Linked DNA regions of Cricetulus griseus. The protein of the gene in region 2 interacts with the protein of the main gene of each other region in a biochemical or structural test. Links are inferred from orthologs where the notes say so. Each region holds a gene or a part of one and is shown on either strand. Other genes may lie near its edges. The genes, in order: Arhgap1, Bnip2 and Cdc42.

Region 1 (4,127 bases), on a different chromosome or scaffold from region 2:
AGCCATTGCTTTCTTTTACAAGCAATTTCACTAACTAGTTGATGAGGCTCAAATCTGATCCTGGTAACCTTAGCTTCTGAACCTTAGGAATTAGGTTCATAACTTTTTGCATCTGCATTCCTTAGTTACTGCAGCTTAGGTAAGGAAACACAGTCCTGTAGTAAAGGGACAAAAACGACTTCCCAGCGCTTTAAATACCCTGCTTCTAACCAACTCAGAGCTGCCAGGAAATACCTGAACCTCCCGCAAACTTTAGGACAGGAGATGTCCTATTCTTCAATACCTGCTCGCGTGGTGGCTTCACTCCCTCGCCCTTCTCCTCCGAGAAGGAGTCCACTTCCAGAGGTCCCCAATGCAGTCCGAGCTGCAGGGGCTCTCCGACACACCAGACCCCCAAGTGCTGTTTCCTGGCGCTCGAGGGGCCCAGGGCCAAGCCCTGGGGGAGGGTCTTTAGAGCAAGTATGACAGGGCTCGAACCAGGCGGGAAGTCTTTGAGGCCCTGAGCAAAGCCTCCTCCAGAAAGGCTCCATCCTGATTCCTGGCCCAGGATCGGCTTGGGGGCTGCAGGGAGACGGGAAGGCAGTGAAGGAGCGGCCCACGAGGGCGTGGGGTTGGGGAAAGTGCAAGGTCAGCTATGCCTCAGGGGTTTGAGGGATAAGCAAGGCTCTACCTCAGCCCCTGAAAACTTGGAAGGGGGTCTAGGCTCTTAAACCCCAGAGCATTGGAAGGCACCGGGGCAGGATCCCAGGCTAGAGAGAAAAAGGGATGTAGGGAGGAGGCGTTGACTAGAAAACGCTGGGGCCATCTAGTGCCGGGCTGAGGGTCGCAGACATCGCAGGTCACTCACGGAGCGGCAGTGTCTTCCCCAAGAGCACCTCCTCCGCCTCCTTCATACTGGATCAGAGAGCTCTCGCCACTACCCCTCCGCCGGAAGTGAGCGTTTTTGTCCCGGTTCCTCGCGGAAACAGTCCTTGACTTCCAAATTTAAGCTCAAGAAAGAATTCAGAACCAAAAAAAAAAAAAAAAGAGGAAAGAAGAAAGAATCTCAATGGTTAGGCATCATTGGACCACAGGACTGGGAGTTTAGAAATACTGGACAGACAAAAGTCTGAGAACGAAAGGATTCCCGAGGCACGCTACTTTCCAGTATCTGGAAGAACGGAACCAATCTGCCCAACCCACCCTCCTTTGGGGAGCGACCAGCCGGACAGTTGTTATACTGTGTAACCTCTTAGGCGTGCATTTCGGCAGGTGATTGCCGGAAGTGGGCGGGGTTCCAGGAAAGCCATGTTTGGACCGGGCAGCAAGGCCGGAAGTAGGAGGAAGATGTGGCGGAAGTGGCTGGGGAGCTCAGGGCCCCCCGAGGGGGCGGTTCCCGTTCCTTCTCGTAGCCGGATGTTTGCTGAGCTTTGACAGGCGTGGCAGAGGGAGCATTGCCTGAGCGCGGTGAGCTGCAGAGCGCGGGGTCTCGCTGGGCTGGTGGGGGAAGGGAACGAGCTGCTCTGGTCATCTGAAGGGTTTCGGTCCTAAAGGGGAGAATCGGAGGCAGTGGCGCGGGCGGTGGAACTGGGCCCGAGGGCCTTGATCTCTCTGCTACTGGGATTTTGCCCCACTTCGGTGTCTGCAATGAGAAGACAGCCACTTTCTCTGACTTCTTCCTGCCCTCTCTCAGGCATAGGCCATTACAGAACAAACCCGCGGGAGGGAGAAGTCTCCCTGACAGGATCTGGAAAAGCACCGAGAGCGAGAAATTAGGAGGAAGTGATAGACTTTGCCACTTGATAAGTCATGCTTTCTTCTCATTTTCTTGTGAAATGAAATACACTCAATCTGTTGTTTGTTTTTTTTGACTGTGCAAACGTGATTATAGTTTAGAGTTGCTGTCATGTAGGAGTTTTGTTTTTCCGGAGTCACAAAACAGTCCGATTCTAACGCCAGCAAGTACTATGACTTCAGGTTGCTAGCTCTGTTCTGCCTTGACATGAAAAGTTCTGAATGCCCCTTTGTGGCGCCTCTTTGAACCCTGTGAACTTTGTGACTGATAGTCACATGAGAGTTGTTGAGGGGTTGACTTTCACCAAGAGACCACCTCAAACTGGTACTTGTGGATTAAAATCTTGCGTCTGGGTTCTATGACCTTTAGCAATTTGCTCACCCTTCCCCCCATTTTGTTCAAATTGTAAATGGCTTTGATAGCATATGCTGAACAAGTAATGCAGTTGTGAGGTGAATTTGTGGTCAGCTTGAAGCACTATATTGGCTTTCCACAAATGTTGGTTTCCTTCTCTACTTAGGAAAATCATTCATTCAACTAATGACAGAGTGTCTCCTATGTGCTGGGCATTGTTCTGAATAGATGGCTTTGTTTTTCTATGCTGCATAGAGGAGCTAGGGCCCAGTGTGTGCAGGCAAAGTGCTCTACTACTGAGCTATGATTTAGCCTTTGAAATAGGTTCTTAAGCAGTAATTCTAAGAGGGCTTGTGAAGCCTTTAAAATTGCAATCAAGATTTCATGGATCTGTTCATTTTTCCTAGAGAAAAGTCCACAGATGTCAGAATTTCAGAGATATTTGACTGTTTTGTAAAAGTCAAAGGCTTTGCCTAAAGTGATTTCAAACACTTTTTGAAGGTCAAGGTTTATCTGCTCGGAAAGGAATATTAATCTGAGAGAGAGAGAAGTGTTTTTGCAGAGTGGAGTAGGACTCACAGGTGACTGGTATACTTTATTTCTATCATTTTGTGTTAGAATTTCCCTTCCTAGGCTTCCCTCGTCTCCCAATGGACAGCAGATAAACGTCCCAGCTCAGAGAAGGCAATAGATGGGAGTGAGAGAGGCCAGGGAGCTGGGCACTACTGGGATTAGTTTTGTTGGTAAAGGAGGTTGTGTGGGAGTTGAAGGAGGTCAGGTCTAGAATGTACAGAATCGAGGTTCTTGGGAAAGAGCTGGGAGTCAGTTCTGCTCTCTTCTTGATAGTTTCCCTCTCCCTCCCTCACAGAGCTCAGTTCCAGCTGCTACTTTTAACTCTGTTCTCTCCCATTTGAGTGCTGCTGAACACTGCAGAATTGTATTTCTGGGAGGAGCCTTTGCTTCTGTAGATAAGGAAATTTAAGGTCCAGACAGGAAAGGCGCTTGCCTGGGATCTTTACAGTCCTTGGCTTAGACAGGACTCTAAGACAGTTTTTCATATATTTGACTTCATGCTGTTTCTGTCATACCAGGTACTTACTGTGTACTAAAAGATTTCTCTTGGATAGCTGTGAGATGGGGGTGTCAAGGAGTTCCTGTAACTGGGCCGTGATAGAAATGGAGAGAAGGCTCAGCCAGGAAGGTGTTTTGATCTGGAATCTATCCTTTAATCAGTCAGTGTTTTTCAACCTTCCAAATGCTGCAACCCTTCAATGCAGTTCCTCATGTTGTGGTGACCCCCCCACCATAAAATTATTTTCATTGATACTTCATAACTATAATTTTGCTACTGTTATGAATTATAAATATCTGTGTTTTCCAATGGTCTTACATAGTCCCTGCGAAAGGGTTGTTTGGCCCCCAAAGAGGTTTCTACCTATAGATTGAGAACCACTAAGCTAGAGGATCCTGTGAGAAGCAGCCCTATAGACTCCTGGTTGAATTGGGTTGAGAAGGCGGGTTGGAGGCAAATTCCTCAAGATGGAAGATTGCTTGGTTTGAGGACTGAGGGTTGACGTGGGAGTAAAGATCTGGGCTTTGGGCAGAGGCAGATTTACTCACTAAGAGAAATGCATTCCCAAATGTGAGAGGTTTGCCCTTTGTGTTCTTAGGGAGGAATCTATATATTGGTGTCCAGCTGGATTTGTGGATAAGGCCAAGGGACAGGGGAGAGAAAGAACAAGGAAGAAGCTTTTGTCTTTGGCTTTGAAAGTGTGAAACAGTTTTCCTCCTGACTCAGTATGTTGTCATGGTAACAAGGCAGTTGTTGCTTAGGCTCTGAGAGCTAGTTTAGAGCCCTAGGCTGTAATGTGTGCAGGGAGGGGAGGTTGTCACGATTCTCCTAGCCCACAGTGTGGATCTCATGTGGCAACCCTTCTCTTCCGTCCTATCCCCAGGCCCTTTCTGCTCCTCTTATCTGCCCTGCTAATTCTCTGACCAT
Region 2 (3,648 bases):
TAAAGGCAAAACTGGGAAATTGCAACAAGCTGGTGAGTCAGAGGCATCCGGATTCCCTCCAGAGCAGTTGTACTTATTTCAGCTCCTTTCTTGTTATTTCCTGTTCCTACAGCTGCCTGGTGATAAAGTGCTTCCAAGAACAGAGCTCGATTGTTGACTTTGTTTTTAATCTACCTAGTGTGCTGCCCCCAAAGTTCTTGATGAAATGGGGGAGTGAACCTCTATTTCTCTCTGTCCCCTTTGTTTAACTAGCCTAGATAACTGTCCCCATAACTAAAAACCCATGCCAATGTATAGAGATGTATGAACATCACATGATGGAGGACATTAGAGTAACAATTGAGGAGGTGAGCTACAAGGGCTGAAGGACCTGGGCTTTCTGTGTTGTTTGTGGTGCTGAGAATTGAATTCAGGGCCCCATTACTGAGCAAGTAGTGTCTGAGCTACAGCCCCAGCCCTACCTTTCTAGTTTATTTGGACACAGGGTCTAACTCAGAGGTTCGAGGTGGCCTTGAACATGCAGTCTTCCTGCCTCAGCCTCTGAGATAGCCAGGGGGTTACAAGCCTGTGTGTATGTAAAAGAGCTCCTTTGTTGTTGTTTCTATTTAAGGCAGGGTCTTGCTATATAGCCCAGGCTAGTCTCCCATTCAACCTTAATCCTCTTGTAGGCCCCAGAGCACTGGGATTGCTAACCTCAGCCTCCATAACAATTTTGAACGAATTATTTCTCAAGTAATGAAGGCAGTTAAGAGGCATTTCACAGACAAAATATTTCTTTCAGCAAATAAAGAATAATTTCACCAACAGTGACTTATATTGCATGTATTTATGTTCTTGTAGTATTTTTCATGACATTTTTAAGGGGGAACTCATAACAGGAATCCTATTTATATAGTTCAGAAAGCAATATAAGCTTAAGAACTTGCCCAATAATGGTGTGCCTTCACTGTTAAATCTAAAATGTGCTGAGCATTGTACTAAGACTAAGGATATGTCCATTGCAATTGTCAGTCTCTGCTGTTATTTCTGAGACTTTTTTTCTTGTTATTTAAGAAAGACATACAGAATACTCTGATCCTCCCCCTCCCCATACCCAGTAGAAAGGTAGGACAAGACCATGGGAACTATTCTGGTTCTTTACCCACTGAGTAGTTCAGTGACAGAAAGTTAGCATATTACCCCCCCATGCTAATAAATAGATTTATAAAAATGTACGTCCTTTGAGACCTTCCCAAGTATAAGTACTCAAACTGGGAGATAGAGACCTCTAGTTATTAGAGGAATGGTTTAATTTGCTATATGAAACTTAACACTTCAGAGAATTTAATGTCCCTTGTAGTTTGTTTTTAGAATATCATTTGATATGCATGTTAATGGTTCTCATCATTTATTTTATTTAGGAAGGTGGGTTTTGTTTGTTTGTTTGTTTGGTTTGGTTTGGGTTTTGTTTTTCAAAATAGGGTTTCTCTGTCCTGGAACTTGCTTTGTAGACCATGCTGACCTTGAACTCTTAGAGATTCACCTGCCTCTGCCTCCTAAATGCTGGAATTAAAGGTGTGAGCTACCATGCTCTGCAGTTTTTTTAAAATCAAGTAGTATGGAAGTGTGTGGGTGTGCTATATAGGCGTACCACCCTTTCTTCTCTGTGTCAACCACTTGGAACTACTACTACTTCGTTGTTATTACTGTGTGACTCTTAAAAATGTGAAGCTAGGCATCATGGCCCATGCCTGTAGTTCCAGAACTCGGGAGGTTGGAATAGCAAGATCACAAGTTTGAAGACAGCCTAGACTAAAGGGCAAGAAGATAGAAACAGAAGTGTGGTTTAGTGCAGCCTGCAGTAACTTGTTCCATTGATTGTTGTAATGTAAATGAGTTGAATCTCAATGATACTTCTTGCTTCAGTATTTGTCAGCTGTTTCTGTTGTACTTTTTACCAGCTGATCATCATGACCTCTTTTTAAGATTTGTTTTTTATTTTATGTGTGAGTGTTTTGTCTGCATATCTGTGCACCGTGTGCATGCAGCACTATCAAAGGTCAGAAGTGGTTGTGTGATGCCCCTGAAACTGGGGTCTCAAGTAGTTGTGAGCCATCTTGTGGGTGCTGGGAACTGGCCACTGAATCATCTCTCCAACTCTTCTTCATGACTTACACTGTATTTCAAATGCTGTATTCTGTCAGACAGAAGGTGAGTCAGTGTGCCATCTTACTGAGAATTCTTATAGTTTCCTACAAAAATAAAATTAAACTTTGGGGCTTAAGTTGAAAAGTATAGTTGTAAATATGAAAGCATCACTAATTTGAGTGCTGAGCTCTGTGAGAGAGGCATGATACAAATGGGAAACACATTAGAAATTAGTGCATTGCTGGACAAGCTCCTGGGTAGCCTCTAAGTGATTCAGGAATGGAGAGGAGGAGCTGTAAACACCGCATAGCACTGGGACCTGGTGAGCATTCGTGTGCTTGTAAGTTACTAATGTGGTTTCTAGAATCACCCTTATGTCCAGAACTAAGATGTAAGGCTTAGTTATGATTCTGTGGAGAGAAAATATTTATTTATGTGAGATAAATAATAATAAGGGTCAAGTTTCACTGAACTAATACCTCTGCAGCTGCTGGAGTGGGGAATGGGAGCTTGGGTGGGGTTGTTGCCCCTTTGCTGCAGATGAAGAGTAAACTGGAAATGGAGCTCTTGTCCATCTTTCCCTCCCAGGACCTCGGCTGCCTGGACTGCCAGGAACTGGAAGTTGACATTGAATCCAGGCTGAGGATGGAAGGTGTGGAGCTCAAAGAAGAATGGCAGGATGAAGATTTTCCAATGTGAGCAGTACTTTTTGTTAAAATGGATTTGGAACAAAGCTTAAGAATTACTTCATTGAACTGTCAGCTCATATATGTTGAGCTTCTTTAAAAAGGTTACAAGTGATTGCTGGATTCTAGAAAGTGAAAGTTAATTTTCCAACTGTGTGACTGGTGATCTTTCATATCTTCAACTAAAGATTTTTAGCAGACTGCTTTAAGCTGAGGTCTTGGGCTTACAGAGGGATGGGATATCAGGTGTCTACAAGAGTGAATGGAGTGCCAGGCATAGTGGTGTCCACTTATAACCCCAGCCCCGGGGAGATGGAGACCAGATCCCCAGAGTACACTGGCCAGCCAGCCTGGGCTATTTGATCCATCCCAGACCAGTGAGAGATGCTGTCTCAAACAGTGGACAGCACCTGAGGAACATCTGAGATTATCTTCTGACATCATACACAGGAATACAAACGGATTTGTAGGGCTTAAACACAGCTTTAGTCCTTATAACTAAGTGATATTTTTAATGGATCTTTGAGCTTCAAAAGAATTGTTTTTAATTTCTGGGTTAAAGAATGTGTCTTTGTCGTCTAGACCTTTACCAGAAGATGACAGTATTGAAGCAGATATACTAGATGTAACTGGTCCAGACAGCCAACCTGGTAAGAACTGAAAACTTTCAGTGAAGTTTGTGTTACTTTTGAACACATTTCTTTGTAGAGAGGAAAGCAAAACAAAACCCATTGAACTTTCATTCTGATAGAGGAAGCCAAAGGGCAGATTTTTGGAAAATCCTTAAGAAATTCAACTTCATAAAAAAATACACCTTTAGTTTTGGAAAATTTTA
Region 3 (3,648 bases), on a different chromosome or scaffold from region 2:
TGTACTTTGGACTTTAAAAAATGATACTTAAGCCGGGCATTGGTGGCGCACGCCTTTAATCCCAGCACTCGGGAGGCAGAGGCAGGTGGATCTCTGTGAGTTCTTGGCCAGCCTGGTCTCCAGAGCGAGTGCCAGGATAGGCTCCAAAGCTACACAGAGAAACCCTGTCTCAAAACCAAAAAAAAAAAAAAAAAAGATACTTAAGACAAAACAACCAGGTCCAGAAACTTAGCAAATAGACCCTTGTAACTGCTGCTCTGAGCAAGTTGCCATTTTTCTTTTTAGAGGTTTTAAGCCATGTCAGTAATGCTGGTACTTTTCTTTGAGTAGCTGAACTTGTTACTAGTTGAGGGGAAAAATATGTATATAAATAGGAATCAATAGAATAATTGTCTTTAATTTTTTTTGTAGGTCACCATCTAATTTGAAATATTAAAAGTGGATACAAAACTATTTCCACAATGCAGACAATTAAGTGTGTTGTTGTTGGTGATGGTGCTGTTGGTAAAACATGTCTCCTGATATCCTATACAACAAACAAATTTCCATCGGAATATGTACCAACTGTAAGTATAAAGTCTTTCTGACAGCGAAAAGGATTGTTTGTCCATTGGAAAAAGTTTGCCTGCCTGCACTGAAATATTTTTCTGTCTATCTTTGATCTTTTTAAAAAAGAAATTAAATTTCATTGTTTATTTACTTTGTAGGGTATATGTATGTATATACTGTATGTATGTATATACAAACCTGCCTTGGTACATGTATGGAGGGCTGAGGACAACTTGAAGGAGTCTAGTTTGATCATGTGTGCTCTGTAATTGAACTCAGGTTGTCATGTTTTGCAAGTGCCCTCACCATCTCAATCATCATATCAGCCCATTGTTTGCTATTTTTAAAGGTTTTTGACTTCTCATGGGTAATTAACACTTTAAAATTAAACAGTTGAGGGTAGCGAGATGGCTCCACAGTTAAAGAGTACTGGCTGCTTTTCCAGAGGATTCAGATTCAACTCCCGGCCACCGCACCTGGCGTGACTTGTGTCTTTTGGAATTGATGAAATAGAGTCCAAAATCTTAGATTAACCTTCAGAAACATTGATGTTAGCTTCTGTGGTGTCACAGCTGGTGGAGGGGTTAGGCTAAAGCTACATGAGGAAAGAAGATGAAGTTTCTTTGAGAAGTGAGAATTTAAAGATGTAATTTCATAGCTGGGTGGTGGTGGCACACACGTTTTAATTCCAGCACATGGGAGGCAGAGGCAGGTAGATCTCTGTGAGTTCAAGACCAGCTTGGTCTACAGAGCGAGTTCCAGGAAAGCTAGGGCCACACAAAGAACCCTGTCTCCAAAAAAAAAAAAAAAAAGTTGATAATAAAACTACATTTTTGAGTTGGCCCATTAATCAGAAGATGTTTTGAAGTATGGTGTGGATTGTGTCTTAAGGTGAGATAGCCACTTGGGAAATTTGTGTCTGAATTTTTACTTATAAACATGATTTCCAAGTCTTTCATGATTTTGTTTGATGTGAACTTCCTGGGTGTTTTTTATGTATGTGCATTGTCGGGGAAAGAAGGGCAGTGAGGTAAATTTTTAAATGGGCCTATTTAGGTAAATAGGTCAAAGTAAGTTATATATCTATGGTATCTACATTGGCATGAAAACGGGTTTAGTATATAGTGCATATTTATGCCTATCCGTGGACTGATTTAACCATTTAGAGACTAGAGTTTAGAGCTGAAGATTTTTGGTTGTTGTTGTTGTTGTTGTTTTGTTTTTTTTGAGACAGGGTTTCTCTGTGGCTTTGGAGGCTATCCTGGAACTAGCTCTTGTAGACCAGGCTGGTCTCGAACTCACAGAGATGCGCCTCCCTCTGCTTCCCAAGTGCTGGGATTAAAGGCGTGCACCACTACCGCCCTGCTAGAGCTGAAGAATTTTATCGATCACCTTATCTTCCATGGAGAAAATTCATGCCCAACTGGTAGATGAGACTTGGAAATCAAGCTTTTTTCCTGACTCCCCCCTCCCCCCCCCCCTTTTTTGAGACTAAGTTTCAATTGTGTAGCCCTGGCTCTCCTGGAACTTGCTGTGTAGACCAGGCTGGCCTTAAACTCACAGAGGTCTGCTTATTGCCTCTATCCAGTGCTTCCTAATTTTGATTTTTTTTTCCCCCTGAGGTAAGGTTTCACTATCTTGTTGATGTTGGTTTCCAGAAATCAAGTGATCCTGCTGCCTTTACCTCCCAAGTGTTATAGCATCTGTATAGATAATACCCAACACAACCTGACACATTCCTGGCTTTTTTTTTCTTTAATTACTTAATTTTTAGTTATGTGGATCATGTCCACATGCTTGCAGCTGCCCACAGAGGCTAGCGGTGTTTGATTCCTCTAGAGCTGGAGTTATAGGTGGCTGTGAGTCTCATATAGGTGCTAGGAACTGAATTCAGTTTTCTGAAAGAACAGTATGAACTTTTAACCACTATGTCATCTCTCCAGCCCAGTTTCAGTTCTGAATTAAAAGGAACTGTTTGTGAATGAATAGTTTCTTAGAAATCAGATTGAACATTGTTGAAGCAAAGCCCTGTCTTTAAATTCGTTAGACTTGAAGGGGACTATTTGAAATTTTTATTTCTTATTTTTGAGACAGCCTTATATAGCCCAGAGTGGCCTCAGACTCACTAAGTAGGTCAGAGTGACCTTGGTTGGTTTTTCTTCCTTCCTCTACCTCCTAAGTGTTGGGATTATGGGGTGTTCCACCATACCCAGTTTGTCCTTCCTTCCTTCCTTCCTTCCTTCCTTCCTTCCTTCCTTCCTTCCTTCCTTCCTTCCTTCCTTTCTTCCTTCTCTTCCTCGCTCATTCAAGATTTATTTTTTTCATTTATGAGTGCTCTATCTGTGTATATGCCTTTATGATAGAAGAGGGCATCAGAGCACTGTAGAGGTGGTTGTGAGCCACCATGTGGGTGCTGGGAATTGAACTCTGAACCTCTGGAAGAGCAGCCAGTGATCTTACCTGCTGAGCCATCTTTCCAACCCCTCCTTTTTCTTTGTCTAAGCTGGTTTATTTTCATTTAGCAAAGTGTTTTATTCAAAAGCTTCTCAATACCACTAGTTGTCAGAATGAATATCACCTTTCCTTTATTATCCAACCCAATTGAAGATGGATGGAAGGTTGGTCCTCTGTAGTCAGAGACCTAGTTTCTGTGATACCACTTAAGATTTTTGTGTTCCTCAAGTAGTAGGACATCCCAGGACACAGTCTCTCATTTTTTCCCAAGAACCACTCAGCTAATGCAAGGACATAGTTGGTGAGATGGATTACATAAAAAGATACGAACTAAGGGAAGATGAATTTCCTTCTTGGGAAGGAAATAAGTGGTTGGGAATTGTACTATCTTACTCAGTAATAATATTATATTTCTTTGTTTTGTTTTTAGGTTTTCGACAACTATGCAGTCACAGTTATGATTGGTGGAGAGCCATATACTCTTGGACTTTTTGATACTGCAGGTGAAAACTTAAATGTCTCATAATGTTTTGATCTGTTAACTGTAACAGTTGCTACTGTGTGTCTTGTTTTGGACACCATTAAATTAGTATATTAGTAATTCACTTATTATATTTTGTTGATGGTTATTGGCATGGTGGCACA

Evidence for each region.
Region 1: the proteins of Bnip2 (region 2) and Arhgap1 form a complex in vitro, tested with the Homo sapiens proteins (2 studies listed by BioGRID). The link is inferred for Cricetulus griseus from reciprocal best matches to the Homo sapiens genes BNIP2 and ARHGAP1.
Region 3: the proteins of Bnip2 (region 2) and Cdc42 form a complex in vitro, tested with the Homo sapiens proteins (2 studies listed by BioGRID, with this or other methods). The link is inferred for Cricetulus griseus from reciprocal best matches to the Homo sapiens genes BNIP2 and CDC42.

What each region holds. Positions count from the first base shown.
Region 1 is NC_048599.1:85,113,626-85,117,752, reverse strand, and holds the start of Arhgap1 (rho GTPase-activating protein 1), read left to right. Parts: upstream 1-1,312; 5' UTR 1,313-1,446; intron 1,447-4,127. Other genes in the region: Znf408 (zinc finger protein 408), read right to left, coding at 284-561, 848-893. UniProt on the Homo sapiens protein: GTPase activator for the Rho, Rac and Cdc42 proteins, converting them to the putatively inactive GDP-bound state. Cdc42 seems to be the preferred substrate.
Region 2 is NC_048597.1:181,527,806-181,531,453, forward strand, and holds part of Bnip2 (BCL2/adenovirus E1B 19 kDa protein-interacting protein 2), read left to right. Parts: intron 1-2,715; 5' UTR 2,716-2,772; coding exon 2,773-2,822; intron 2,823-3,395; coding exon 3,396-3,463; intron 3,464-3,648.
Region 3 is NC_048595.1:15,978,110-15,981,757, forward strand, and holds part of Cdc42 (cell division control protein 42 homolog), read left to right. Parts: intron 1-411; 5' UTR 412-461; coding exon 462-566; intron 567-3,433; coding exon 3,434-3,506; intron 3,507-3,648. UniProt on the Homo sapiens protein: Plasma membrane-associated small GTPase which cycles between an active GTP-bound and an inactive GDP-bound state. In active state binds to a variety of effector proteins to regulate cellular responses. Involved in epithelial cell polarization processes.